7 linked regions of the Mus musculus genome follow. The main gene of each other region encodes a partner of the protein of the gene in region 7 in a complex. Links are inferred from orthologs where the notes say so. Each region holds a gene or a part of one and is shown on either strand. Other genes may lie near its edges. The genes, in order: Mybl2, Lin54, Lin52, E2f6, Mybl1, E2f1 and Tfdp2.

The links.
Region 1: Tfdp2 (region 7) and Mybl2 share a complex: the UniProt entries of both Homo sapiens proteins name them as parts of the DREAM complex. The link is inferred for Mus musculus from reciprocal best matches to the Homo sapiens genes TFDP2 and MYBL2.
Region 2: Tfdp2 (region 7) and Lin54 share a complex: the UniProt entries of both Homo sapiens proteins name them as parts of the DREAM complex. The link is inferred for Mus musculus from reciprocal best matches to the Homo sapiens genes TFDP2 and LIN54.
Region 3: Tfdp2 (region 7) and Lin52 share a complex: the UniProt entries of both Homo sapiens proteins name them as parts of the DREAM complex. The link is inferred for Mus musculus from reciprocal best matches to the Homo sapiens genes TFDP2 and LIN52.
Region 4: Tfdp2 (region 7) and E2f6 share a complex: the UniProt entries of both Homo sapiens proteins name them as parts of the DRTF1/E2F transcription factor complex. The link is inferred for Mus musculus from reciprocal best matches to the Homo sapiens genes TFDP2 and E2F6.
Region 5: Tfdp2 (region 7) and Mybl1 share a complex: the UniProt entries of both Homo sapiens proteins name them as parts of the DREAM complex. The link is inferred for Mus musculus from reciprocal best matches to the Homo sapiens genes TFDP2 and MYBL1.
Region 6: Tfdp2 (region 7) and E2f1 share a complex: the UniProt entries of both Homo sapiens proteins name them as parts of the DRTF1/E2F transcription factor complex. The link is inferred for Mus musculus from reciprocal best matches to the Homo sapiens genes TFDP2 and E2F1.

What each region holds. Positions count from the first base shown.
Region 1 is NC_000068.7:163,053,142-163,057,799, reverse strand, and holds the start of Mybl2 (myb-related protein B), read right to left. Parts: upstream 3,166-4,658; 5' UTR 2,972-3,165; coding exon 2,952-2,971; intron 1-2,951. UniProt on the Homo sapiens protein: Transcription factor involved in the regulation of cell survival, proliferation, and differentiation. Transactivates the expression of the CLU gene.
Region 2 is NC_000071.6:100,444,743-100,448,834, forward strand, and holds part of Lin54 (protein lin-54 homolog), read right to left. Parts: intron 1,985-4,092; coding exon 1,782-1,984; intron 1-1,781. UniProt on the Homo sapiens protein: Component of the DREAM complex, a multiprotein complex that can both act as a transcription activator or repressor depending on the context. In G0 phase, the complex binds to more than 800 promoters and is required for repression of E2F target genes.
Region 3 is NC_000078.6:84,454,367-84,458,458, reverse strand, and holds part of Lin52 (protein lin-52 homolog), read right to left. Parts: intron 2,219-4,092; coding exon 2,144-2,218; intron 511-2,143; coding exon 473-510; intron 1-472.
Region 4 is NC_000078.6:16,820,813-16,824,548, reverse strand, and holds part of E2f6 (transcription factor E2F6), read right to left. Parts: intron 2,457-3,736; coding exon 2,342-2,456; intron 1-2,341. UniProt on the Homo sapiens protein: Inhibitor of E2F-dependent transcription. Binds DNA cooperatively with DP proteins through the E2 recognition site, 5'-TTTC[CG]CGC-3'. Has a preference for the 5'-TTTCCCGC-3' E2F recognition site.
Region 5 is NC_000067.6:9,682,782-9,686,873, reverse strand, and holds part of Mybl1 (myb-related protein A), read left to right. Parts: intron 1-1,063; coding exon 1,064-1,238; intron 1,239-1,361; exon of another isoform or gene 1,362-3,588; intron 3,589-3,705; coding exon 3,706-3,777; intron 3,778-4,092. UniProt on the Homo sapiens protein: Transcription factor that specifically recognizes the sequence 5'-YAAC[GT]G-3'.
Region 6 is NC_000068.7:154,562,973-154,567,064, forward strand, and holds part of E2f1 (transcription factor E2F1), read right to left. Parts: intron 1,537-4,092; coding exon 1,446-1,536; intron 1,143-1,445; coding exon 923-1,142; intron 119-922; coding exon 1-118. UniProt on the Homo sapiens protein: Transcription activator that binds DNA cooperatively with DP proteins through the E2 recognition site, 5'-TTTC[CG]CGC-3' found in the promoter region of a number of genes whose products are involved in cell cycle regulation or in DNA replication.
Region 7 is NC_000075.6:96,307,323-96,311,414, reverse strand, and holds part of Tfdp2 (transcription factor Dp-2), read right to left. Parts: intron 894-4,092; coding exon 727-893; intron 1-726. UniProt on the Homo sapiens protein: Can stimulate E2F-dependent transcription.

The sequences.
Region 1 (4,658 bases), on a different chromosome or scaffold from region 7:
CTGTTACTTCCTTCAAATCCACTAAAGAGGGCATTGCATTTCAGATGGTTGTGAGCCACCACGTGGTAGCAGGGAATTGAACTCAGGACCTTTAGAAGAGCAGTCAGTGCTCTTCACCACTGAGCCACCTCTCCAGCCCAAGGTTTTCCTTTCTTTTTATCTGGATTAAAGGCCTATTCCACCACACCAAGCCTAACTTTGTTCATTCTTTCCAATTCTTGACTGCACGTGGGCACAATTAAGGGAGAGCATAAAACTCAGAATACAATTATTTGATGTCTGGAGGCTTTAAAAAAAAAAAAAACTAACATGGAAGTTTTCGTTGTTTTTGTTTGTTTTTCAAGACAAAGTTTCTCTGTGTAGCCGTAGCTATCCTGGAACTCAATCGTAGACTCAGAGATCGGCCTGTCTCTGCCTCCCTGCTGGGTTTAAAGGCACGCACCACTATCACCTGGCTAACATGGAATATTTTACCTGCTATCAAAATCCTATTGCCTAGTTTGATGGTTTGAGGAAGGAGATCACACTATGAATGCTAGTTAGGGACTGGAGAGCTGGCTCCACTAAGGAACATACTGCCCTTGATGAGGACCTAAATTCAGCCTCCAGCACCCTTCCCACAACCTCCCAGCTCCAGAAGGGTCCAGCCACTCTGGCCTCTGTGGGCACCTACACGCAAGTGCACAAAACCACCCACAGATACATAACTAAGGGAGAAAGGCAAACAACCAGTTTTTCACAGAACTTGGTTAATCCTTCCCCGGGACCTGCACTCGGTCACCTCGAGCAAATACGAAAGGTTAGTCAGTCATATGTAACTGGGAAGAGTAGAGATTTCCAAACGAGCAAGACGAGCCACACTTTGTGCCCACAAGTGTGCAGCGTTGGTGTCTGCACAGCCCTCCCTGTCTTCCCTCACACTCAGCACAGCCTCCCTCCCTGTCACTCCTACACACATACAAGCACTCTGGAAAGCCAGGTCCAGCCCTCAGCCCCAACCTCTGCTCTTGACTTCACCCACAAAGGTCAGCTCCAACTTCACATCCTGGAATTTGGCACAGAAAAGGCCTAAAGAAATATTTGCCCAGGGAAGGAGTGGATTTGTGAATGAATGGATACTTGCAAAGATGCTGCCTACGAAACAATTCTAAAAAAAAATCCCGACGAAAACGAAAAGAAGTTCCTAAGCCTAGCAATACGCGTCACAGAATCCAGAAAGCAGATTTGTATTGTCAGTGCTGACCCAATGCACGCCCCACCTACCATTGTAAAGCAGGAGGCAAAATCTACTAAACATTATCAGTTGAGTTTGCTTCTCCAAAACCCAGCACGAGGCCCAGATTCTATTAGAAGCTCAGCCGGTGTCCTAGGGAAAAGGCTCTGTGTAAGAGAGCCTGAAGCCTCAGTGCTGTGTAATAGTGACAGTATTTGGAGGGCGGGGGTCCTTTGAGATAGGTATCTCTATGTTGCCTTGGCTGCCCTGGAACTCACTCTGCAAACCATGCTGTCCTGTATACTGAAGAGATTCACCTGCCTGAGTGCTGTGATTAAAGACATGTGTTGCTGCTACCCGGCATGGTCACACTATTAAACAGATGGGAGTATCCATCAGTCACACACCTTCTTGCGCATTCTCAAGGGCTCCATTTAACAGACGGGAAAAGTGAGGCCGACAACGATTATGTCACACCAAGCTCCACATTTTTACACCCTAACCTCCCTAGGAACCGTAGCATGAAAAGCAGAGGCCAGTGTGCTGTTTAAAGAAAAGTCACACTTTTGTATATACACATACCCTTTCTCTTGCCCTTGTACGTTCTGGGCTATGCTCCAGGGAAAGGTGAGTCAGAGGCCAAGAGGGAAGTGGGCCACTGGGGTACAGGGAGTCACACCATGTGGCAGAGAAAGGCTCGTGAGGATGCAGGGGCACAGAGTCCACACTTCACAAAAGAGACCCTCAGATAAGCCCGGGGCTCTGGGATTAGTACTTCCAGATGCCCTTCCTGGGCACTGAACTGTCCTAGACACCGGGGCATGGGAAGCCACCCTGATCAGCACCCACAGACCAAACCAATACCCAACCCAGCCACGAAGAACTCTGCAAGTAAGCAAGCAGGCATCTCTGTGCCTTATCTTCATCCTAGGCCAGGTTCGGCCATCTGAAGACGGTGGAAAGGCGTTCTGAATTGGAAAGACCCAGAAGGAACACAGCAGAACCCAATTATCCCACGCCTTAGAAAGGCTGGAAAGCCCCGCGATTAGGCCCCAGATACACAGGTGTCCCAAAAGTCCAGACTTGACCCAGCCACCTAACCTCTAGGGAACTAAGAGGGAAACCCAGTTCCTGCCTTTGGCTCAGAGGCTGCTAGCAGAGCAGTCTCGTTGCACACCAATAGTCTTTACTCATCCCCAACTGCCCAAAACTAGCGTGGGACAGGAAGAAGGCTTCTGAAACCAAACCGAACCGGCCGCCGAAACCCCATGAGACAACGAATTCCCCGTCTCGCATCCCGCGGAGGGCCCAGGGGCTTTGTGCTTCCCGGAATGCTAACAAGAAAGGAACGCCAGCAAATTCGAGCCACTCTTGATCGACAAGTGTCTCCCAGGCTTCTGCCTTCCACTCGCTGCGACAAGGGGAGACATTCTCCCTACCCAGTAATGGGCCTCCAGCTGACACCGCGAGCGACAGCCTTCCTTCCCCACCCTGCAATTAGGCGGGAGATGATGGACCTCACCCAGGGCTGGGACCCGGTCTAGAGGGGGAACCCGCGCTTTCAGACTCCCGGGCCCAGGAGGCCCAGGAACCGAGCGAGGGGGTCCCGATAGCCTCTTAACGTGGCGCGCGCCCCTGCATCGGGCGGCGCAGGGTGCATTTCTCCCGGGGATCCCCATCTCACGCTTGCCGACCCAAGGAGAAGGGAGAGGACCCCAGCGCGCCCGCAGCCTCTCACCAGCGCGTCCGCCGAGACATCCCCCCGGCCCGGACCCCGCCGCACCCTTACGCCCGCCGGCCGAGCCCGGAGCGGGAGCCGGGCCGGGGTCAGGACTCAGGCTGCTCGAGCCGCTCCGGGCCCCAGGCGGTGCTCTCAGGCGTCAGCGTGTCTGCAGGTCTGGTCGCACGTTCCCAGGAACTGCAGCTGCCTAGGGAGCGCACAGAACCACTTTCCTATCTCCCGCCAAGTGCGTCGGCGCCGCCCGGCCCTGGCGCGCGAGCGCAGGGGCGGAGCATACGGAAGGGGCGAAGCGTACAAGACACGAGGGGCGGAGCCCGCGCGCCAGAACCCTAGGAGGGGCCTACTGTAGGGGCGGAGCCCAAGCATGGGGAAGAGGGGAGTGGTTTACCGGAGGGCAGAAACCGAATGTGCAAGCGGGCAGATGCTCTGTTAGTTGGCAATCTACTGTGTCCAGATACACCTACCTTAGGGATTCAATGAGGCGCGAGGCCTGGCTCTGTGTGAATCTTAGATAGACCCCGAGCCACACACATAGCAAAGACTGGAAGAACTGAATAGGAGAAACTTCCCGCCCAAATTGTCACTGCTTGGGACGGTCCAAGCCACTATCCCTAGAGCCCCCATGCTCCCTTTGACTGGGTTTGTATCTTTTCCTTTGCAAGCCTCTTGCTTCTTCAGCTGCCTCAGAGAGACCCAGCTCAAAATCCCAACATTTCTCTCACCAAACTTAAACCTCTCTTCTGTCCGGGTTAAATCTTTGTAACTCCATTTAGTAACGGCCTTCCAGATCACCACGCCAAGACACAGAGAGGCGAAATTAAGTCTTGCAGCTTTTGCTTGGGCCGTATTTGGACCAGGAACTCCCCACATCTTCCCCGACTGGGGTCTCCTGCCCATCTGCTTGCATTTGTGCGCATTTCCTCTGCTGAACTGTGAGCATTCTGGGATCCCAGCAGCCTTTCCTAGGAAATGTATTAAGCCCAGGGGGAAGGCTTGTTGGCTTACGTTCAATTTCTGATGGCAAGGGTTGTCTCTTTCAGGTTGTCATTTACTACCTAAAAACTGAGTGTCATCTTACTGGGACTCCCTGAAAGGATAGGAGCCTGGAAGAACCCCAGCCAAATGCCCTTTAGGCTCAGGCCTCAGATCTCTTTCCAAAAACTGCTGGCCCCTTTTAGACAGTACAACTCCGAAAACTTCATTTACTACAGAAGGATGAAGACTTGAAAGCTACAAGTTTTCACCTGGCTTAATTCAAGGCTTCCCCCCACCCCTCTCCCTTCAAAGGAGTTCATGTGGATCGCTGCTCTTCACGGCTAGTGTGCTTTACAGTGAGATCTCCTCGGGGGTGATTCCCAGCCTACCTTTCCCTAGTTCCATTATCTCAAATTATCAAACTTCTCCATGCCTGCTTCCTCACCTACAAAAACAGTTCATAGAAACCTTTGATCTTCATAACAACCCAATGAGTTATATGCTTGTATTACCCGATAGCAGATGGAGAAACTGAGGCACTGACTTCCCCAAACTGTAGTTCTAGAGTTTATAGTAAGGAAAGGGGTAAGGAAAGGGCAAATGGCTTTCCTCCTAGCATCTTTGGCTTGTTTGCAAATTAAATGGATAGGAAATAGATTAACGGGAGGAAACTCAGGTTTAATTACTTGCATATCCATTGGAGTCCTGTAAAATAATGACATCATACAA
Region 2 (4,092 bases), on a different chromosome or scaffold from region 7:
CAAAATCCTGCACTGTTCCACCACAAGACACACAACAAATGGGAAAACAGACTCGTCTATGAAGTTGCTACAGGGTAGCCAAGTAGTTTCAAAGCCTGAGAGAAATTAGCTCAAGTAACTAACAATCTAAGGACTAACAGCATCCTGTAGCAGCCCTAGCAGATCACTGAAACTCCACCAAGTCAGAAATTAAGGCCCAAGAGTAACTGAACCTCAGATTGTCACACACGTGTAACTGGAATACTGAACTTTTAAAAAGGCACTTTAGAAACTATTACTATAAATTTGGGGGGGAGGTTGAAATGTTTTACTGTAAGAATATTATATAATTTATCTTATTAGTGATAATAATAAAATATTAGTAATAATAGTAAATAGCAAAACAGTAAAAATTGTAAAATAATAGTAATAATAACAAAAATGCTCGTATTATTAAAAAATGGGAAGGAGAGGGGAAAAAGACATCAACAAATTTAGGTGAGCATGCTGGTATCACCCTACTGTTTTTGTCTTTCTCTTAGTATATTTGTGTGTGTGTGTGTGTGTGCGTGTGTGTGTGTGTGTGTGTGTGTGTGAGAGAGAGAGAGAGAGAGAGAGAGAGAGAGAGGGAGGGAGAGAGAAAGTAAACATGTGCGTGTACGTGTGGGTACAAGTGGAGGAGACAACTTTGGATGGTTCTCGTTGGGCACAGTCTACCTTGTCTTTTGAGGAAGGGCTCAGCTGCAGCTGGCCTGAGATTCACCTAGGAGGTTACGAAGTCAGCCCATGAGCCCTGGGATTTGCCTGTCTCAGGCTCACACCCAGCCTTCTGACGTGTGTTCTGGTGATCAATCAGCTCCATCTTGCCCAGCTGTATACAATTTCTCAAAAGCATAGCTTTAATTACAGTGTGCACTTACTGTGTGTGTGTGTGTGTGTGTGTGTGTGTGTGTGTGTCTGTCTGTCTGTCTGTCTGTCTGTCTGTCTCTGGGGCTGAGGTAGAAGAGCTACAAGGCTGGAGAGATGGCTCGGCGGTTAAGAGCACTGAGTGCTCTTCCGAAGGTCCTGAGTTCAATTCCCAGCAACCACATGGTGGCTCACAACCATCTGTAATGAGATCTGATGCCCTCTTCTAGAGTGTGTCTGAAGACAGCTACAGTGTACTTACATATAATAAATAAAAAATAAATCTTAAAAAAAAAAAAAAAAAAAGCCGGGCAGTGGTGGCGCACACCTTTAATCCCAGCACTTGAGAGGCAGAGACAGCGAATTTATGAGTTCGAGGCCAGCCTGGTCTACTGAGTGAGTTCCAGGACAGCCAGGGCTACACAGAGAAACCCTGTCTCAGAAAACCCACAAAACAGTTCAGAATGCTTTGCTTATTAGGGTTGCTTTTTCCCTTTTTATTGTTAGGGATAGGATCTTACTTTGTGGCTCAGTCTGGCTTTATATTTGTAGCTCTTCTTTTTTTTTTTTTAAGATTTATTTATTTATTATTATATGTAAGTACACTGTAGCTGTCTTCAGACACCCCAGAAGAGGGCATCAGATCTCATCACAGATGGTTGTGAACCACCATGTGGTTGCTGGGAATTAAACTCAGGACCTTCGGAAGAGCAGTCAGTGTTCTTACCCGCTGAGCCATCTCTCCAGCCCCAGTAAGTGAGATGGAAGGAAATGGAAAATTCAGGTTGGCAACAGCTTAGAGAGCGGAATTAACTTTGTCACCCTAGGAAGAACCCTTACTAACAAGGACCGTCTGAGCATCAGCTAGAGAGAGGTTCCGGGTGAAGCTGACTTACTTCCCTCCTGCACTGTTGAGAGCTGGGGTTGGCCTTGTAAGGAGGTCTGAGATCTGAGAGGACAGCTTGGTCTTCGCTGCTGTCTGCTGCTGGACCCTTACTTCAGCCGCATCTGCTAAGTGCATCAATGTCTTCCGTTCTGGGCTTTCTTCAAAATTCTTACAGCCGATGCATTTGCATATAGAAGAACACATTATTTTTGCCTGAAAGATTTACAAAAGAAAAGTTTCCAAATCAAAAGCAGAAAATATCACAGTAAGTAGATTCCTCAACAGAAAAATAATAGCATTAGCTTGTCAACAGGTATCTTAGATGAAGCAGTTTCTGCTCACAATGGCTATGCCTGTGGGTAAATCAAGGATTAAACTGAGAACAGTGCTTCACCTCAGGCCTTCCCACTCTCTCCCACTGATGACCCATGTAGGACTAACATTTTCTCCTGAATGAATATAAGACATAAAAATATTTTTAAAATCACTAAGATTCTACTCAATGAAATCACCATTAACATGACTGTGACCTCTCACGTATATAAACTCACAATTGCACATTTAAAAGTTTTCATAGCTGGGCTTGGTACAGACAAGGCAGAAAGATCGTGAGACCTTATCTCATCAGGACAAAGGAAAGGAGATCTCAGGCACTCTTGTTTCCTCCTCCACTGAACCAGTTTCCCAAGCCCTTCAGTAACTCATCCATAAACCAGTGTGCTCGCCTATGTAAAAATATAAAGTATGCTTACATGGAAGCACAGACTGAAGCTAGGGCTGACGGCCCACATCTATAATCCTAACACCTGAAAAAGGGAAGCAGGATAGTCCCTAGTTCAAGGCCATCCTAAGCTATAGAGTAAATTCAAGGCCAGCCTAGGCTACTTGAGACCCTGCTGCAAAATAATACAAACAGAACAAAAAATAATCTCGAAAACCCAGACTTTGGGTACACGCAGCAAGTAATGAATACAGAACTCTCCCTTTTAGCTTGTTTTACAAAATGGCCCTCCTACTTCAGTGTGCCCTTGCCCCACACTTCATGAAACTCCTTCTCCAGCTACCACAGCAGGATCCCTGGTATCAGGGGCCACAGTTTTGGCTCATTCATTTACCTAATAATGGGTGTGCATTTTGTTTATAGTTCATGAGAAACAAAAGCAATTCATAATGGTTTTTTGTAAGGAGAAATGTCTAAATACAGCTTCTATTTCTCTGAAGACAAATTTCTTTTGAAGAGACTTCATTAAGTGTCATGGTTAGGTTGCTTTTGCAGCCTAACACCTCTCCCTCAGCAACAATATGCACACTAAGGCTTCCTAGATTATCCAGAACACCTCCACCTCAGCAACAATGTGCACACTAAGGCTTCCTAGGTTACCAACAACAAAGAGAATGCACTATACTCTTTTACTATTTCCCAAAACAATATATTGGTTGTTTTTGAGATGATAGCGAGCTCTCTATATAGCTCTGGATGTCCTGGAATTGACTATGTAAACCAGGCTATTCTTGAATTCACAGAGATCTACCAGGCTCTGCTTCCTGTGTGCTGGGTTTAAGGCTTGCACCACAGTGCTGAGCTTCAGTGTGATGGGGAAGGCCATAAAAGGCAAAGCACACTGTTTTCACACTTAACTCTTGGACAATTTAACTATTGCTTTTGAGCTGCATTTTCTTCGATAAGTCCATGTCTAGTTAACTAAATAAAGAAAACTCTGTCCTTTCTATAGAATCTAGCAAGTTAATCCTCTTGAATGCTGGAATGGCAGATATGGACACTGCACCCAGCTGACTCTGCTAGATCTTTCTTTCCTCATGTGCGTGCCTAATGTCTGAAGAGGCCATAGGGGCACTAGATTCCCTGGACCTGGAGTTACATATAATTATAAAGTGATTGTGTGGGTACTAAGAACCAAATTCAGTAACTGCTTAACTGCTGAGCCATCTCTCTAGCCTACTTGTAAATTCTTTTTCCAGTTTTCACCTTTGTTCTTCTGTTTGGTTTCCGTACACAGGTCTCACCATGTACCTCTGGCTGGCCTGGAAGTTATATAAAGCAGGCTGGTGTTGAACTTCTACAAAGTCACCTGCCACTACTGCCCAACTTCTGGGATTAAAGACAAGCCAGCACATCTACCCTCCCCCTCTTTATTCTTTGAGATAGGGTCTGTCTATGTACCAATGGCTGGTCTACAACTCAATATCAATCAGGTTAGCTTGAGAGCTGTGATTAAAACTATGTGCCACTGTGACCGCCCAGCACCGTTTTTGTTAAGACAAGATCTCATTAGGTATTCAAAGCCAGCCTTAAACTCGCA
Region 3 (4,092 bases), on a different chromosome or scaffold from region 7:
GAATTAAAAAACCACCACCACCACCACCACCACCATCAGGCCAGTGTGATGGTGCAGCAGGTAGTGAGTGAGCTTGCTGCCAAACCTGATGACCTGAAGTCAAACCCCAGGAAGCTCAATACTAAAAAGAGGGAACCAACTCCTACATTAAATGGGGGGTGGGAGGCTTCAATGTTATAGTTGGGGTGAACAGAACCCCAGTGTTACATCAAGTATTTCAGATGTTTGACCTTAAAGCCTATGAGCTGAGCAAAGAGGCTCACAGGCAAGGGTCAGAATGGCAAAGTGAAACATTTAAGCAGAGAAAGGGATTATCAGCAGCTAGCAGTCTGATAATCTAAACATATTTAAAAGTCTAAAGTCAAAAAAGGATTAGAAGACTATGACACTAGTCTTGAAAATAAAGATTTGAGCCTTTTACCCAAGAGCAAACTTTGGATAAACTTCCACAGACAGAAGTTGTTTTACTTACACTTTTGAAAGAAGCTGCAAATTCAGCGACACCTGGTACTAAAAAAGAAAAAAAAGTTACTCATGTAGGAAGCATTTGTGTTTAGGCACTGAGGACTTAAATAATAAAGAAATGCTGGGTGATGGTGGTGGTGCACACCTTTAATCCCAGCACTCAGGAGGCTGACACAGGGGGATCTCTGTGAGTTCAAGGCCACTCTGGGCTATAGAGCAAGTTCCAGGCCAGCCATGGCTACACAAAGAAACCTTGTCTGAAAAGAACAAAACACAAACGGACAAACCAAAAACCTAAAAAACTGAAAACCAAATCTTGCCTTCAAGTAGCTTACACTCTAGAAAAAGACAGAGCATATATTATCAGCATCACTTAAGCACTTCAGAAAAGCATCAGGTGTCACAGGAAGACAAGAACAAACAAATAAGCTCTCATGGGAGCGAAGGGGCGGAAGAAGCTTCTCTGAGAAACCACTGCCTCCCGCTTTAAAGGGCCAGGACTGGGCCTGAGAACAGTAAGCTATCTCTCGCCTCAGTTTTAACCCCCTCTCCAGAGCTAGCGATTTAGACCAAGGATAGAGTGCTTTTCTAGCATGCACATGACCTTGGTTTGAACCCCAGGGCTACTAATAAATAAGTAATATAAATAAGCTAAACATTCTTTTCAGTTGTCCTGTTTGGTTTATTTATGCAAATGCCTCATGGATACTACCACATTAAAAAGCAAAGCAGCTAAAATACAAAGGTAGAGGGAAATAATGTTCAATTCTGTTAACTAAGAAATACAAGCTGGGGCTCAGTGGAGAGAGGCACTTGCCACCAAGCCAACAACCTGAACTGTAGAGTCTCAGGCTTATGGTAAAAGGCCAGAACTGACTCGGACCAGCTGTCCTCTGATTTCCACACATGCGTCATGGCACGTGGCTGCTTCCCTCAGCCCAATAATGAATATAATTTAACCTAAAAGAAATGCAAGTTAAACATAACAATGAGGAGTGACACTGGCTAGTGAGAAAATGGGCAGTCATCCTCTTCTACATACAGGATAGATATGCAAGGATACTCACTGATACACTGCCTGTGAAATACAAATGAGGTAAGTTAGGTTTCCAAATAGAATGTGAATATAGAAGCTAGAATATACCTGTCCACTGTAATATACATAAAACAATGAAGCAGACCTACAAAGATCAACATGGAACGATCCATCAAATTTCCTGTTGAAATAAGTTAAGCTGAAAGCTCTATACATATTACATCATCACTATGAAAACCAAAAATTCCTGTGTGATATACATGCAGACAATACATAACATACATATGTATATGCTTATCTGTACACGTATAAAAAAGTCCAAACAAGTCTGTAATAAAATTACAAACAATATTTAACTATTTCACTAAAGGAGATGAACAAATGCTTTGTGCATCTCAGTATTGTCTGAAATTCAGATATATCGTTTTAAAACTATAATTTTGTTTAAAAGCTCATTATCACTTCTTGCAATGTTCTGAAAAGTTAAACCACTAAGTCCCTATTTTTACTGTACATCAATCTCTTCTCTTTAAACCAAAATAAAAATTTTAGTCATCAGATCCATGATAACACTATAAAATTCTCCCAAGGGAGCGCCGGCTCTCCTGCGTCAATTCTACTATGAGAAAAGTCATAACTCACGCTGTTCTGGCCAGAGATCTGGTGAGGCACGGTCAAGTTTCTCAAAACTTAGCAAAGATGCTTCCAAATCCGTCCCTAGAACCAAACACCAAGATGGGATGAGAAATGCATTCATTCTCATTTTATTATATTTCAATCTCAAAGAACATAGCCTGAAACACTCAATTAGAAGTTCAGAGGTCTCAACTATTGATTCCCTGAAGCCCTATTGGGGCATGATGTAATACAAATAAATTTGATTCTCCCTCATCAAAACTCAGACTTCCACTTTATTAAAATAAGTGTTTAAGAAAGTCAGGTCTCAAAAGAAAAAAACAAACAAACAAACAAAAAAAAAAAAAAAGAAAAGAAAAAGAAAAAGAAAGTCAGGGCTCAGCCAGGCGGGGTGGCATACGCCTTTAATCCCAGCACTCGGGAGGCAGAGGCAGGAGGATTTCTGAGTTCAAGGCCAGCCTGGTCTACAAAGTGAGCTCCAGGACAGCCAGGGCTATACAAAGAATCCCTGTCTCGAAAAACCAAAAAAAAAAAAAAAAAAAAAAAAAGAAAGAAAGAAAGAAAGAAAGAAAGTAAGTAAGTAAGTAAATCAGGGCTCAGTGGTTAAGAGCATGGATTGCTCTTCCAGAGGTCCTATGTTCAATCCGCAGCACCTCATGCAGCTAACAACTGTCCATAATTCCAATTAGCATACATGTAGTACAAAGAAATACATGCAATCAAAATACCTATACACATAAACTTTTTTTTAAATGGGTATCAGGTGGACATGGTGATTGACACATATAATCCCAGCATTTGGGAGACTAAGGCAGGAGCATTGAGAGACCAGCCCAGACTACAGCAAAACCCCTTGTAAAGAAGAGTGTCAGCAAACCCACCTGTCTTCCTACACTCTTCAACTTGTCTCCAGTTACAGTCAGCTAAGTGTCACTGCTCTCAACAAAGATAATCTTGACTGTAGACCACTGTCTTCAGCTTTAATAAGCACTTCAGACAGTCTTCTTGTAGCAGAAGTTTCTATTTTAGACTCAGAGCCAACAAGCAAGCCTGATCTAGAATTTATCTCCCTTTTCACTTATTAAAAGAGCACTTTGCTGTGTGATGGTGGTGAATGACTTTAATCCCAGCACAAGGGAGGCAGAAGCAGGTAGATCTTTGAGTTTGAGGCCAGCCTGTACACAAAGTAAGACCCAGGACAGCCAGGGCTACATAGTGAAACCCTGTCTCATAAAAATAAGTAAACAAATGAGAGAAAGAGCGAAACTATACTTAATGTTAACCAAGTCTCCACATGTATGTACACACATGCACCAGTATCCATATGCATGTCTGAGTGCAGACACACACAGAAACATGCAAACTCTCCCTTTAAACTCATAGCCTCCCTCCTGGGTATCCCGTTGTCCTTACTCTCACACCTCACACTCTGTGTGTGTGTGTGCATGCACACATGCATATATGGATGTAATAAGTCTACAAATAGGCATATGACAATAAACACCAAAAAGGATGCTAAATGTTTTTATTTTGTCTATTAGTGGCTCACTAAGAAGCTAGCTGGCCAGCATGCTCTCAGGATCCAGCTGTTTCTGGGCATACCCTCCCCACACCCACAGAGCTGGTGGTACAACCATGCCTGGCTTCCAACTCAGGTCCTCATATTTGCAAAGCTAGCTGCTTACCTACAATGTATCATCTCCCCAGGACCTACACCCTCTAACCTATAAAACTCTTAGTTCAGTCCCTAGTGCATTGAAACTACTGTTATCAAGCTTCCCTTTGCCAGACCGTCCCACTTCTATGTGTCCCTGCTATGACCTCCCACAGCATGAGATGCTTTCATGAAACTGCTGCGCTTGTTTCCTCTTAGTGACTCCTCCTTCACTCTGCTCCACTCAGATCTCAGACTGTGCTGGCTCTACTCTCTACAACTTCCACCATCATATACCAAT
Region 4 (3,736 bases), on a different chromosome or scaffold from region 7:
GTCAAGGTGAGCACCAGCATCCACTAATCACAGCTTTTCAGTTAACTTAAATTCTTGCAGCTTCCTTTCTACCATGCATTTGAGAAAAGCATGCTTTCAACTGTCACTACATTCTAAACCACTGGCCAATTCAGTTAAGACCTCTGCTTCATCATGTGAGCAGCGACAGTCTTGGAGCTACCACACGGATAGCCGAGTTCTTTCTCCAAAGCTCCAAAGTCCTCCAAAGAAGTTCTTCTCCTCTGGTGTTGGGAGCTCTGGAGTACCAACTGTATTATGCAATAAGGTGTCTGGGTTTCCAAACCACTACAGAGGCATTGAGGTCACAGGAAGGCTAGTCTTTGTCCAGTCAAAAGATGTAAGAGGAAAAGATGAAATCAAAATAAGCCTCATGTAATCTGAACCATCACACACAAAGGAACTACACTAAATGAATCCTTTTGCCTGGGTCTTATTAACCCCAATGGTTTTCTCCTAAGAAATTAAAAATGTGGTTGTTTGTGTTTAGAGGCTAAATGTGTAAGGGGCATTTTTTCAGTTGTGATTTCCTGTCTTTCCCATTGGGAGCTGGCCTCGCTCTCCTCCAGTCCACCATTCCCACATCCACATGGAGAGGCCAGTCTAGACATCACTGTCACTCCAGCTCCTTTCTGCTCTGGGATCCCATCCAAGCAAGCTGGGTGTGATTTGCTTCTTAGAGAGCTCTAAGCCTCTTATATCCTTCCTGGTACCAGACAGGTGAGACAGACTGACCAACTTTGTACTTGGAGGCTAGATAGTGTCAGGGCAGGCCTGGTTTAAATGGAAACCTTTCATCATTAAATAATGCAAGGAAATAATGTTGCTCCCAACTGTTAGTCAGTGGAAAGGACTTCAAAGTCCACCAGCCACTGAATCATTCTGTATAGGGGATTACTGGGGAACTAAGAGGTGGCTCACAGTTCAGAGTGTGTACCCCTCTCAGGGATCCGATTTGGATCCTAGCACCCATATCAGGATGGTCACAACCATCTGTAACTCCAGTTCCAGGGGAGCTAACGCAAAGGTCTCCCTGGGCATGTGCACTGACGTGCACATACCCATACACATACATGTAAGATTTCAAAAACATTTAAAAAGGAGATGGAGGAGATGGTGCCTATCGGGCCACGTTGTCCCTGTCACAACTACTTAACTCTGCCACGGTAGCATAAAAGCATATGGGTGATATCTAAGCAGATCCTTAAAGCCGTAGGAAGCCAGATGAGTTGAAGGCCACTGTGCCAGCCCTATACTAGGCACACAGTCCCCACTACAGCCTTCTGTAGTCAGAATATACTGACCCAGCACACTGCTGAGAACAGCCAGCCTGGAGGACCTCAATCACAGAGTTCTAATGGGACCAAAAGAGGCTCTGAGTGAGCTCAAAGGCTCAGAGCGATTTAGCAATTACAGTCAAGCAGCTCAGAGCACTGGGAAACCAAACCCCATTAATTCCTGTAGAATGGATTAGCCATGCCCCAAAGAAAAGAGGCGCTTCAAGATTAGTGGCTATTTAATTTAAAAGGTTTCAGCATCTGTGGAATAACTCATCCTCAATATGTTATTGGGATTGTTGTCTAAATCCAAATCAAACTAAGGAGCGGCACCAAGTCACAACCTGAATGTGGCTGAGGGAAAAGCTAGTGCTCCTTCATGACTAACGATCCACTGTCAGGTAACAGGGTCTCACTTGGACCGTGTTCTGCTGGGGACAACAGAAAGGAGGGTGGTGTGACTATTCCTCACTACCTCCATGAAGAGCTGGGTACGAGCAGCTGGGGGACACCGGGCTGTTAGAACTCCCTGGTCTGTGCTAAGAAGGGTCACCGGCTTTGGTTTTGACCCTATTCTCACGAAGTGACCTTCTGGTGACAATCACACTCAACGCAAACTTCCCTGGAGCAGCTAGCAGCAGCCGACACCAAGGCTGATCTCAGGAAGGCTGTACATCTGTGACTCAGTGTTCCAGCTCATTCCTAGGCTTCGGCGAGCTCACCAGTGCTCTGGCTGGGCCAGCTATTACTTTTTGAATTTGAAGCCCAAGGCCAATAGTGTGATCGCTCCTACAGCCCAACAGCAGCAACATGGCTGAGAGCGCCTGCAAGCCACCCTGTCCTACACTGGTCCTGGTGGTCACTGTGTGCACTCCTGCCTCTCTGGGCTGACCCTCCCATCTCCAAGGTTACAGGGATTACCTCACTCACAGTTAAGGTGTAGAGCTTGACAAGCACATGGTAACAAGTGACTTGGTGGTCACTGCTGTGGCGGCCAACCCACCTCCTCCCTTTTTAAGCCCTCTCTGCAGTGCAGCGCTACCTACTTCTCTGGGAGCTGGAACATCCAGTCTGGTTTCCTCTGGAGCCTTCACTGCAATGACAATCTGTTCATGGAAAGCTTGAATGCCGTGAATATCCTGATAGGTTACATACGCTAGTGTGAGACCTGGTCAAGGATCTGACAAGATGGGCAGATCACCACCCCACAACACCGTCCTTCGTTTTGTTGTTGTTGTTTTGTTTTGTTTTTGGAGGCAAAGTCTCACTGTTTAGCACTGGCTGGCCTGTGCTACATAGACCAGTCTAGCCTTGAACTTAGAGACCTGCGTTTCTCTGCCTCCTGAGTGCTGGGAATGAAGGCGTGCACCACTACACACATCACTATCTCTTACATGAATGCAGGTATAAGAATAGCTTAGCTTTTATGGAATACAACCTTACAATGAAGGGAAACAGAAAAAAAAAAAAGCTTCAAAATAATTATTTCAAAAAGAATTCTTAAGATTTTATGGTGTTTTATGTATTTGTAATTCGAAGAACTTCTTTAAACCAAATATTGATTACAGCAATTTCTGGAGAAAAAACATTAATAAAGCCCGAATCCTGAACATAAATACTACTCATGAAGGTAGATATCCCCTTGTCCTTGGGGTGGGGCTGGGGGTAGATGTTACAAATCCCCAGCAGATGCCCAAAGCCACCGACTAACAGCAAACCATACATAGACTGTGCATACAGTACCACAGTAAGGTTAAATTTATAACCAGGCACAGTAAGAAATCAATAGTAAGAGTATAATTATAACATACAGCAGACCGCAAATTATTTAAAAACAAGTTACTTGTAGAATTTTTCCTTAATATTTTTAGATGATAGCTGCAGCAGAGATTACAGAAAGCAAAGCCACAGGAAAGGGGAGCCCACTATGATCAAATCCCCAGCTACAGTGCATTCAGTGTAAATTCTCACTCACTGTTACTTAGCTCTATGAGAGCTTGAGAGGTAAACAGTCACGGTTTGGGTGAGCGTCCTCCAGAAGGCAGGGAAACCACGTCTGCAAACAGGAAGAGCTCCCAGGAAGCTCTCGGTGCCGCCATGCAGCAGCCAACATTTCCTTTAAGAACACTGACTGAACACTGCCTTTCAGCTGCTCCCGTGTTGGCAGATACAGCGGTCACTCGGTGCAGTTGCTCTGCCTTCCTTCCTTTTAGACTACAGATTCTGGCTGGCTGCGGCACTGCAAGCCTTGGCTCAGATTTTCTAAGACCTGTCCTGTGGTAATAGGATTTCACTGCCACGGAGAGCAGGGAGGCGGGCAGGAATTCAGGGCCAACTCAGAATTACTGACACTCACAGAGGACACTGAAAGTCACAGAGAGCAGGACAGCCAGCTGGGGGCCTGGGAGAGGCAGGTGCAGAGGGCCAGCCTCTTCTGGTTC
Region 5 (4,092 bases), on a different chromosome or scaffold from region 7:
CAGTATTATATTTTCTTTTGTCCAAGTTACTATCCCTGGGCTGTGAACTTCTGATATATTCAGTATTTTATGCACCTTTTTACTCTGTGTAGAACCTCACTTAGTGCTTTAACAGAGTGGGTTTCTAGTAAGTGTATATTTTATGCAGAATGAAATTTATACTACAAATAGCTTTAGGTTCATCTTTATAAAAAGAACCTTGGGCAAAAAGGGAGCTGATGAACTCATTGTTTAAAAATATAATATTCTGAGAAATAGTTAAGAATATTTGAAATCTGTAACTTGTACTTTTCTTTTTCTTCCTGTCTCTTCTTAATGGAATTGAGGATTGACCCCAGGGCCTCATTCATTATAGACAACTAAACAAGCATGATTTTTTTTTTTTGTTTTTTGTTTTTTGTTTTTTGTTTTTGTTTTTTGGCAGTTTGGGTTTTTTTTCCCATTTCCTGTTGCAAGGCCTTTGTACTTGGTATGCCTTTTATCCAGAGGCTCTTTCTTTTATTTTTTGTTTTTGAGACAGGCTCTTACTATGTTGTCCAGGCTAGCCTTGAATTCCCTCATCTGTTACCTTCAGGCAGATGATCCTACGCCTGCCTTTTTTCCTGTTCTTGTACTGGCAGCTCATCTCCTCTTTGAGGTCTCGTGGCTAGAGATCTTTCTGGTCCACCTATCCAGACTTAACCCCACTGCAATGATAATCTTGTTTTTTATTTCTTTGTTTTTGTCTTTCTTCTGTGTTACTATGCTTTCAGTGAGAATTTAACCTCGGTGACACAAGGGACTAAATACTCAATTTTACCAGTTGTAAAAATATGTCTTATAAGCCGGGCTGTGGTGGCCCACGCCTTTAATCCCAGCACTTGGGAGGCAGAGGCAGGCGGATTTCTGAGTTCGAGGCCAGCCTGGTCTACAAAGTGAGTTCCAGGACAGCTAGGGCTAGACAGAGAAACCCTGTCTCGAAAAACCAAAAAAAAAAAAAAAAGTCTTATATATTTGTTCAAGTTTGTGCTAAAATTTGTAGAATTCCTTTCCCCTTTTAAAATTATATACTTTCATTTCTTAGGACTGATAATTCTATCAAAAATCATTGGAATTCTACCATGCGAAGAAAAGTGGAACAGGAGGGCTATTTACAAGATGGAATAAAATCAGAGCGGTCTTCATCAAAACTTCAACACAAACCTTGTGCGACTATGGACCATTTGCAAACCCAGAATCAGTTTTACATTCCTGTTCAGGCACATATTTTTAATATCTTTATTATTTAAAAACAAGTTCTTTAGTTGCTATATGGGAACTATTGGATTGGGTTGGGCTTTTTTTTTTTTTTTTTTTAGGACAAGTAAATTTTGTTTTGGGGAGTGACATGGATAGACTTAAATTTCTAATCTGAAAAAGTAAGCCATAATTTTGACAAATATTTTAGTACAAATTTCACTTGAAAGTTTCCTTCTATATGTGATTTCCACATTGAGAAATATAGTGCGTGCATATAATAGTACTCTTTAATTCATTTCATTTATGGACATAAAGATGTGCTTTAACATCTATGTCATTTCTCCTCCAACATTGTTCTGTGTAATGTAGTATTGCCTATCTCACAGGTGTGTACAGAGCAGTCTAAAGGAGAAGTAGTAAAACGATCATGGAAACAGTCCTTTGGGAAACAGTAAATAGCTGATCTTTGATCTTGTTACACTGCTCTTTGCCTGAGTGATTTAGCCTTCATTTAGACAGACTCATTAGAGGTTACCCAAATTCAAATTCAGGGAGCTCTCTGTCTTGTCCCCTACAACACACATTTACCCACCTGTAAGAAATATGTTTAGTGATCTTCATAAGACTTGCTTTCCCCTGTCTGTATATGTATTTATAGTAGACAGTTCTTAGTTCTTTTTACATAAAATGTAAAAGGCTGTTAGGACCAAGTAGTATCTCACAAAAGATAGACTTGGGCACAGTGTTAAAGTCTGCTTCCTAAGCCTCAGGTTTCATTTCATTCTACTTTTTATGAACATTACTAAGTTCTTTTAGACTTACTTTTAAAAGAAACAAAGTAGTCACATCTTAATTTATAAATAGGAAAACATGGGACTACAGCAGTGTAGTTAACTGCTGTCATTTGACCTTAAGGATTTTAATGTTTTGTTTTTAAAACATTTTCTTTAAAGTTTTAGATTTCAATAGTGTAAACAGCAAGGTTTTGCTTCTGTCTTAGAAAAATTACCATTTAAAGTTTTTTTGACTTACAGAAAGATAATTTTAAAAATTACTTGTTGCCAAGGGAGTGTTTGACAATCTCAACCACAGTGTGTTGAAGAGGATAAGGGTAGTGTTTAAAATATTAAGAATTGTTTCCCATTTAACAATTTTGAAAACTTTATATAATTTAAATTTTAAACTATTAAGAAGATAATTCTAGCCTGGCAACTTTGGCGCATGCCTTTAATCCCAGCACTTGGGAGGCAGAGGCAGGCGGATTTCTGAGTTCGAGGCCAGCCTGGTCTACAGAGAGAGTTCTAGGACAGCCAGGGCTACACAGAGAAACCCTGTCTCTAAAAACAAAAACAAAAACAAAAATGGATAATTTAGTTTTTCTTAAGAAGTGTGAAGAAAAAATATGTTGGTTTGAAATACTGTGGCAAATTTTCATTGAAAACTTTGAGAAAAATAAGTTCCTAATCTATTGGAGCTTCCAAGTTGAGCAATAACTGATCCTAATTGAGTATTGTCACAGCTAACCTCTAGGTTAGAGCTCAGATAGAATGATTTTTGCATTAGATGATGATTTAGGCCAATATAGAAAGTAGACAGATTATACTTATTTGTATTTGATTGCCAGATTTTTTTTTACAAACATCTCATACATTTTATTAGTGCCCCTAAATTAAAATAAACTTTACAATTTTTATTACCAATGTTTTAGGAATGAGGCAGTGATACTTAGTGTGCTGTCAGAGTGTCTGTTAGGACTACATGCCTGACTCTGATTGGTTTCTACTTGAGTAACAGAAAAAGCCCTCTTTTCTTTTTTTCTTAGAGATTGATAGTAGGTGGTGATAAGAGTATGAACACAATTTATTATCTTCTGTAGGCATTAGGGGAGCCCTCAAAAGCTGACTTTTTAAAACATATGGTAGATGATGTTGGTAACAGACAATTGGCTGATAGAACCAGGACTGGAAGCCAAGTGTGGTGATATATACCTGTAATTTCAGCACTGGGGAGGTGAGGGCAGGAGGACCAGGACTTTGAGACCAGTCTCAGCTATATAGTTAGCTCCAGCTTGCTTGGGCTTCAAGACAAAACCCTGTCTCATAAAATCAAAAGACAAAAATACAAATCTAAATGTAGGTTATTTCCTACACTTAGGGTTTTATCAGTAGATTCTAAGGACAGATGATACAATTATTAAATAAAAAACTATTGTAGTTATGAGTTTTCAAAGTTGCTAGACAATATTCAGTCTCCAGGTTTTTGTTTTGTTGTTGGTTTTTTGTTTTGTTTTGTTTTTCTGATACAGGAGCTCAACATCTAGCCTTGAGATTTTACAGAGTTCTGTCTGCCTCTACCTCTTAAGCATTAAAGGCATGTGCCATCCTTCCCAGTGTTCCACTTTTAATGGACATTTTATCACAACCTTTCTTGACATCAGATTCTTAAAAAAACGTATAACCTCTAGCAATACTTTACTTCTTGTTTCAGATCCCTGGGTATCAGTATGTGTCGCCTGATGGCAATTGTGTTGAACATGTTCAGACATCTGCCTTTATTCAGGTAAGGCTAATTTGTAACAGAACCACAAAGGAAGATAGTAACCATGTGTTGCTTACCTATAATCCCAGTTTTTGAGCTGAGGCAGGAGGATTGCCACAGTTCAAAACAAGCAGAGCTACATAGCAAGTATCAGGCCAGTCAGGGGTACAGAATAAGAAGCAAAAACAATAAAAGTCTAACAAATGAAAAACAGGAATCCTGGTGATATGTACAGACCTGTGATCCCAGCACTTGGGAAGATGAGGCAGGAAGATGCTGTGCCCTCCCTCCACTAAAAACAAAACAAAACAAAGCATTTGACATAGTTTTAGATGT
Region 6 (4,092 bases), on a different chromosome or scaffold from region 7:
CTGTGTGGTACAGATGTGCATCAGGTGATCCAGCTGCTGCTCACTCTCCTGCAGTTGCTGCAGGTCCTGGGTCAGGCCTTCAAGCCGCTTACCAATCCCCACCATGGTGTGGCTGCCTCTGTGGGAAGCCAGTGAAGAATTAGCAGTCCTTGCGCCCCCAACCCATCCATCAGCCCTAACCCTCAAGACAATCTGTTGCCACCACTATTCTGTGAGAAGCTGGCAAGCTCCTTTTCCTCTGTGGCTCTGCTCCCCAGGTAGGCTTAGAGTAAGACTGGCACGGGCTCAGTAAAATGCTTGATCAGTCAACAAACACCCACCAAGGAGCCAGGTAAGAAAACAATAGCACAAACATGCCATGGAATGACACAGCTGAATTAGATACAAACGATTTGGAGACACACTATCAAGTAAAAAGAAAACAATACAGAATGAAGAATCATCTATCAAAAACCAAAGCAGATATGCCAGAGAAGGCAGCGGGATGCCTGGGGAGGCAGAAGGTACAGCAGAGAAGTAGAAACAAAACCACAAATGTATAAGGCCGATCTCAATGATGACAGCAAAAGCTGGAATGGTGTCAGCACAGCGGTCTAAGAATGGGCAACCATGGGAGAGGGAACAGGAGACCCTCAGAAAGGCATGCATGTGTGTGTGTGTGTGTGTGTGTGTGTGTGTGTGTGTGTGTGTGTGTGCGTGAGCGCGCGCGCGCGCGCGCGCTCACAAGCATTCACACGGGAAACCTTGTACAGCTATAGGGAACTGGATCTGCAAGACTTGCTCGTTCCTCCCCTTCTATCACCCCGGGGAAGGTAACTCTCTTAAGACCTTGGTTTCCCAGCTGTGGGGAATGCAGGAAGCCACTGCAAGCAATTTGGCTTGGTCTGGCTGTTACCTGCCCACCTGCCTGGTAAGTACTTACAGCCACTGGATATGATTCTTGGACTTCTTGGCAATGAGCTGGATGCCCTCCAGGACATTGGTGATGTCATAGATGCGCCGTTTCTGCACCTTCAGCACCTCAGCTGCCCAGTTCAGGTCAACGACACCGTCAGCTGAGCGGCTCAGCAGCTCCAAGAAGCGTTTGGTGGTCAGATTTAGTGAGGTTTCATAGCGTGACTTCTCCCCCGGAGATTTCACACCTGGGGGGCAGGGGTTAGGCTAGGCGGGGGTCCTCAAACACTCAGCCTGCCCCCAACAGGCCTGTCTCCCTAGCAATGTAGAGTGAGTGGCAAGATGAGGCAAATGTCTCCCTCCCCTCAGGCTAAGCAGAAAGGCTCTGTGGCTGTTGTCTGCCAACCAAAGCATTCCTCTTGTAGCTGGGCAACTCCCCACCTCCAAGGCCTGAGGAAGTCCTGTTGGGCAGCCTACTGGGGCCCCAGAGTGTACAACCATGTCCACACCCCTCCCCCAGTCTGGGCCTGAGAAGCTGGAGTCAATGGCACCTTTCCCTGGGTGGCGGCCTCTGCCCCGGAATGGCCCACTGCTACCAGCGAGGTACTGATGGTCAGTCTCCAGATCCAGCCTCCGTTTCACCTGTAGCAGAAACACAGAAAGTTGCCCAATAACCAGGACTGAGACCATAGAAGACTTAGCTAAGGACTTGGTATCCCAACCCCAGTCTGATGTCTGTTAGGATGCTAAGGTGTGCGAGCAGAGACAGATTCTGAAGGACACAGCATGAGGCTAGCATCCTACCACTCCAATCAGTCAAGCTCAAGACTGAAGACCCTGGTTCAAAATTTATGTCCAACATTACCTCCCTAGGACTGACGGTGTTTTTTAAACACACCAGCAAAGAAGAAATCATCGCTGTAATGCTAGAGGTTAATAAAGGCCCGTGAACACTACCACACAATCTACCAATTAGTCTCCTTAGCTCCTACAAATACAAGGTCTATTTAGCCCAGGCTGGCCTCAAACTTACTATGTAGCCAAGGATGACCTTGAATTTCTTATCTTCCTGCCACTAACCTCCCAAGTACTGGGCTTCCAAGCACAGGCCACCAGGCTTTCGGCTTTCAAAGATAAGGGCTAACTTTCTCCCCTTAAACGTAAGCTGGGCGTGATGGTGTCACTTCTGAGACTGGTCACTGGGACAGTGATGCTTCTTCTGAGGTGCTGGGTCGGGAGAAAGCGCTGTGCCATACTGTCAAGTAGCCCTAAAGATAAGCCCCTTTGGCAAAGAGCTAGAACTCCTCCAGGTAGGAGGAACATAGCAAGCTTGGAACAAACCCCACAACCTTAGGCCCATTTGCGACTACAGCCAGGGAGCTTTCTGGCTGCAACAGGATTCCATCTCAGGCTGGAAGCACCAGCTAAATCTCCCTCGAGTCCCGACCCACAGAGACTATACAAGTGCTTTAAGCCACCAAGGGAGGGGACAGGTCCCCCAGGCAACTTGCCTCTAGTTTTTAACTCATTTATGTATCTATAACCATGGCAGCAGCTGGAGCTCACAACAGCTTTGTGCTCAGTGTACTCTGTTCTTTGAACTGGCAACATAACAGCTCCGCTTTACAACCTATGGACAAGTGGCAGAGCCACAATTCCTACCCAGGTCTCTCTGAGAAAGACCCCAAGCTGCTAATCTCCATGCCCTTTAACATAAGAGTTCTAATTTCACAGTATTGGGAAGAAGGACGGACCTTGAAGTCCCAGGGATAGTTCAAAACACACTAACTGGACCAGACTCGCTATCCTCACACCAGCCACAGGCCTTTCTCAACTAAACCCTCTCAACCTGGCCCACCACCTGTCACATTCTTTTGCCAAGAATTCCTCCCACAGCCATTATCACCCTCCCACTGGACAGGACAGCTGTCCCCATGCTGCTCTCCCTCTACATCACTCTGCCTCAGTAAAGCCTTCCAACAGCACTCCTCACATGAACTGTGGAGATGGGCTTCTCCCAATCCCCACTCTAAGGATATCCTATGCCCCTCCTCACACCCAGAGCTGCCTCCTGCAGGACCCTTAATGCTCGATCAGTGGCTTCAGAGGGCCGTTACTCTCTATATACTGCCTCAAGCCTGGCTTTTTCCTCCATCCATTACAAACTACTAAAGATGTGTCTCTTCTCCCTGCCTACCACCTCCACCGAGAAAGTGTCACTGGACACTGGACCAATAAACCTCTGCATCCTTGTGTGCCACAAGCCTCAGTGTCAGTCAGTATGTGTGTGCTGACTAGATGTCCCCACCCTCACACTGCCACAGACTCCTGCAGACCAAGGAAGAAGACAGCATGAGATTCAGTTGATCATACACTGGCAGACACTGCTTCTGCTGTCTCTGCCAGAGCAGGGTGGTAACTAAATCCCATACATTTCCTCAGCAAACTCATATCTGATTGTTGGACCTATGCTAGCCTCCACCTTAGAAGATCTGTAGCCAGGGAGAAATCCAAGTATATGCACCCCATGGGCTGACACAGCCCCAAATACCCTTGTCCATCCCCAAAGGCATGCTTTAAAGTAAGAGCTCAAAGAGATGCTTGTTTCTGTCACTCATCTTTAGACAACCCTAGCACTGAGATCCTAAAACCCATAGGTGAAGATACAGATAGCTGAATGATTCAACCCCCTCCCCCCCCCCCCCCCACACACACACACACAGGAAGGGCACAAAAGCTTTATGCAGCCCCTGGAACAGCATGTAGTCTCAGTAACAGACCGAGGCAGGCCCAGGCCAGCACAGAATCTGCTCAGACACACAAGGAAACCACTGTGACAGGCTAACACATACATGGTCCCTTCCTGGACTAGAAATCTCAGGAGCTGTTCTCCAGTTTAGCTTCTAAGAGTGTTTCAGAAACAGGAGCGCGTCTGTGGGGGAGCCAGCGCAGACGGTTACCTCCTCTGGGCAATGTGAATGACGTACTGTTTGAACTCCTGATCCTTGGACCTCACTTAAGTACTGGGCTTTTAAAGGAGCCACCACACATGGCTCACAGCAAATTTTAGAACTATTAAAAACAAGACTGGGGCCTGGCACTTATTCAGCGTGCATTCAATTCTGGGTTCAATCCCCAACAGCATTAAGCACTCACAGCGACCAGCCAGGGATTCGTGTAATAAAACAACAGTGTCAC
Region 7 (4,092 bases):
CCATTTGGCACTTAAAAAAAAATCCAAGTTTTACTCCAACAAAGCCAAAAATATGTTTATAAAACAAAATGCTTATAAAAATTTTTAAAAGAGTTATTTATTATTATATATAGGTACACTATAGCTGACTTCAGACACACCAGAAGAGGGTGTCAGATCTTATTACAGGTGGTTGTGAGTCACCATGTGGTTGCTGGGATTTGAACTCAGGACCTTTGGTAAAAGCAGTCAGTGCTCTTACTGGCTGAGCCATCTCATCAGCCCATAAAAATGTTTAAAAGTAGTATCATTCAAAATAGCCCAAAATCCTAAAGAACCTAATGTGTACCAACTGATGAATGGATGAAACTGTGGTACATCTATAAAGTGGAAGGAATTGGTACAAATTGAGAAATTTCAAATCTGAAATGTTCCAAAATCTGAAAATTTCTAAGCACTGACATAATGCCAAAAGTGTAAAATTGGAGCTCATGTGACAGGCCACAGTCAAAGCATAGGTTATATTAAACTAGCCTGGGTCCCCTGGGTACAGCTGTATATAACGATACATAAACCTTATGTTTAGATGTGGGTTCCATTTTTCAAGTAACAAACTTAACTATAAAAAGTACTAAAGGATGCCCCTGGTGAAGCCAGTCCTGAGTCTCTAAATTGCTGCATTCTGTGTGAAGATTTAACAAGTGAGTGAGAGGTTCAGTCAGGGATCTGTTAGTGTGGCTAGCATACCTGTAATATAGCCTTCTAAAGCTTTTGGAACCAGGGATTTTGCGATTTTCAGATCCTCCAGAGAGCATTTGCCTGACTCCAGACCAAAGGACATTCCCATCCGCTTCAGTACCTCTATGTCGTCGTGGATCTCAAAGGTGTTATCAAAATTAAAAAGGTATTCAAATCTGCAAAACAGAGCAGGTACAGGGGTGAGGGAGGTCAAGGTGCCAGACAGGGAGTTCAGTGCTTAGATCACATGTACACACACACATACACACACACACACACACACACACACACACACACACACGCACGCACGCACGCACGCACACGCACACCCTAAACACATCATCAGTTTGTCTTTAAGAAATAAAGGAGGTTTGAGGGTTTTGGTGCTACAGAGAAACTCTGACAGATTTTATATCCTATGCTTTGTTTAATTTACTTTTTGTGGTGCAAGGAAGGAGCCCAAGGCCTTATGATTGCTTGACAAAAGCCTTCTGAACTATACCCCAGCCTTTTCTGCACTTAAATAATGGAACAAGAGCCTAAGCTCAGCCGCCATAAAGAGCACTTAGAACAGCAGCAGGGCACACGGCCATTCTCAAGCAAAGCCTTCGTAACCTTTCCAGGTCAGCTGGCCACACAAGTCCACTAAAGCCCCGGTAATGTTACACGAGGGGAGAGAGAAACTCTGTCCTAGAGACAGTACTCTCCAAAGTTGTCTACAGCTTTGCTATAGAGAAAAGCCTTTCTAACTTGGTTTGTATCTCTAACAGACTGGTTGATTGGTCTTGAGGAACCATTTTGGATGCTTAATTCATTTTCCTGAGTCACAGGCTAGACACAGCATACTTCTGTCAAGCATAAAGACCTTTCTTTTAAGATGGGTTGTACCACACTGTAGTTTAAACTTAAACTCCTGGACTCAAGAGATCCTTCTAGATAGTTGGGACTTGAGGCCCTTGTGCTAAACATACTTGAATTAAATGGAAGACATTTTTAACAAACCAAACCCAGTTAATCCTGTCTTGAGAAGCTAAAGAATAAATCTTGTCAGTGTCACAGGGCTGAGCAGGGTGGCTTGTACTTGAAATACCATCACTTGGAAGCCTAGGCTACAGAGTGAGAATCTGTCACAAGCAAATAAAAATTACCATATAAAAAGTACACAGCACCAATCAGGACTTCCTTGAAAGGTAGTCAGTTCAGATGTCTAGCTATACAGAACAACAATCAAGAAGCAAAGATAGGGACAGCAAGAAATAGCTGAAGCTTGATCCCCAGGACATATTCTGTGGAAGGACAGAACTAACTGACTTCCAGTTCAGGCCTCAAGTAGTGAGTTTTACCTTGTTATGGAATTCTCTAGTAAAATCATGTGAAGTTGAGATTTCATCTTACTACATCTTACACCAGGAAAAATCTATAACTTGAAGCAAAATGCTAAGTATATGAGTCTGAATAAAATACGTTACCAAGCTTAAAGTTCATCTGAAGTGGGTACCTTGCCAGAGGGCTGATTTCAGGCATCCCTTCCATATAATGCAGATGGCTTTGTAAACTTAATTTCACTGTGGGAAAGCCTCCTGGCTAATTAAGGGTAAGATTGCTTCACAAAGCAATTGACAGACAAGATTAGTGACCTACCTCAAACAACAAGCGTGTACAAGCTATTCATGAATGGATGCCAGGCAAGGCATGAGTCAGCGACCACCCAAGGCACAGAACCAAAATAGATTCTAGCCTGGGTGAACAGTGCCCATAATCTGCTAAGGTCAATGGTTCCCAATTTTCCTGACACTCTTTATTTTTTAATTTTTATTATTTAAATTGTTTTTCAGACAAGTCTCTTACGCAGTTCTCCTGGTTGATCAATGCTGACCAGCTTATCCCAATCCTGTGCTCAACCTCCTGAGGTTATGTGCTACACGCTCAGCTGCTGAAGCCCTTCAACCTAAGAAGGTAATTTCATATTCCCTCATAAAAGACGAGACTAGCTTTAGAAAGTAATTGCCGAGATGTGTTACAGTCTGACATTTATAGGTTGCTTCCAGAGATGTTAGCCGTTGTGAAGACTTTGGTGTTAGGATGTTAGTTAGCAGTCCTTCCTGACATAGGTTTCTGAAGTTGGTGGCTGTGAATAATAATCTTGACACATAACATTTTACTGGGCTAGATATTGTGTGAATTTATCTCTAGCTTTTATAAATTATAAAGTAAATAACTGATTTTAATTTTTTAGTTCTTGAATCCATTTTATTTATTTATTTATTTAATGCATATATGTAGCTGTCTTCAGACACACCAGAAGAGGGCATCAGATCCCATTACTGATGGTTGTGAGCCACCATGTGGTTGCTGGGAATAGAACTGAGGACCTCTGGAAGAGCAGCCAAGCACCTTTATCTACTGAGTTATCTTGCTGGCCCTAATTTTTTTTTTTTTTTTTTTTTGTGGAGGAAGCAATGAGATCTCAAGAGAGGCTAAGAAATTTAAAGAATGAAAGCTGCTGATCCCCAAGAACAGCAGCTCACACTAATAAAACGATGCAATGAACAGGACTGTTGAAAAGTATTCTCGCAGCCGAGGGCAGCGGAGGGCAGAGAGGTGAGAGAGCTGGTTTTCCTCCACCCTGCTCCACAGAGCAGGCAGAGCTGCAGCTCTAACCCACAGCCGGACTCATCTCATCCTCTGTGTACCTCTAACTTCTGCCAGAGGAAGGGTAAGATAGAATGAACGCTCTACTCTGAAAAGTACTATCTCTTACTTGCTAAAGTGAATGGTGTCAATTATTTAAATTGTTAAAAATATTTTCAAAGCTCCTCTGTTACTTTCCACTTATTTTTTTATGACAAGTTTTCTCACTGAACCTGATGCTTGCCGTCTGCCTGGCCGGCAAGCCCTGGCGAACCTGTCTTTGTTATCATTATCCTCACCCACCCTGCCCTACAGCTAGGGCTATAGTAAGCCTGGGACACCAGCTTTTATGTGGGCGAGGGGGATCCACACTCAGGGACTCCATGTTTGTGGGGTAAGCACTTTACGCACTGTACCATCTCCCCAGCCTAAAGCAGGAGTTTACTGTTCACGTAGTGAGTAATAAGCAAACGCAGCAGGTGCTAAGGCACACACTTTTTCATCTGAGCACATGGGAGGGGTGGAAGGAAGATGACGTCAATGAGACCCCTTTTTAATTTAATTTTATTTTTTGCTTTATTTTGAGAGAGGGTTTCTCTGTGTAGCCCTGACTGTCCTGGAACTCGCTTTGTAGACCAGGCTGGCCTCAAACTCACAGAGATCTGCCTGCCTCTGCCTCCCGAGTGCTGGGATCAAAGGTATGCGCCACCACTATCAGGCAAGACCTCTTCTTAAAAGAACAAA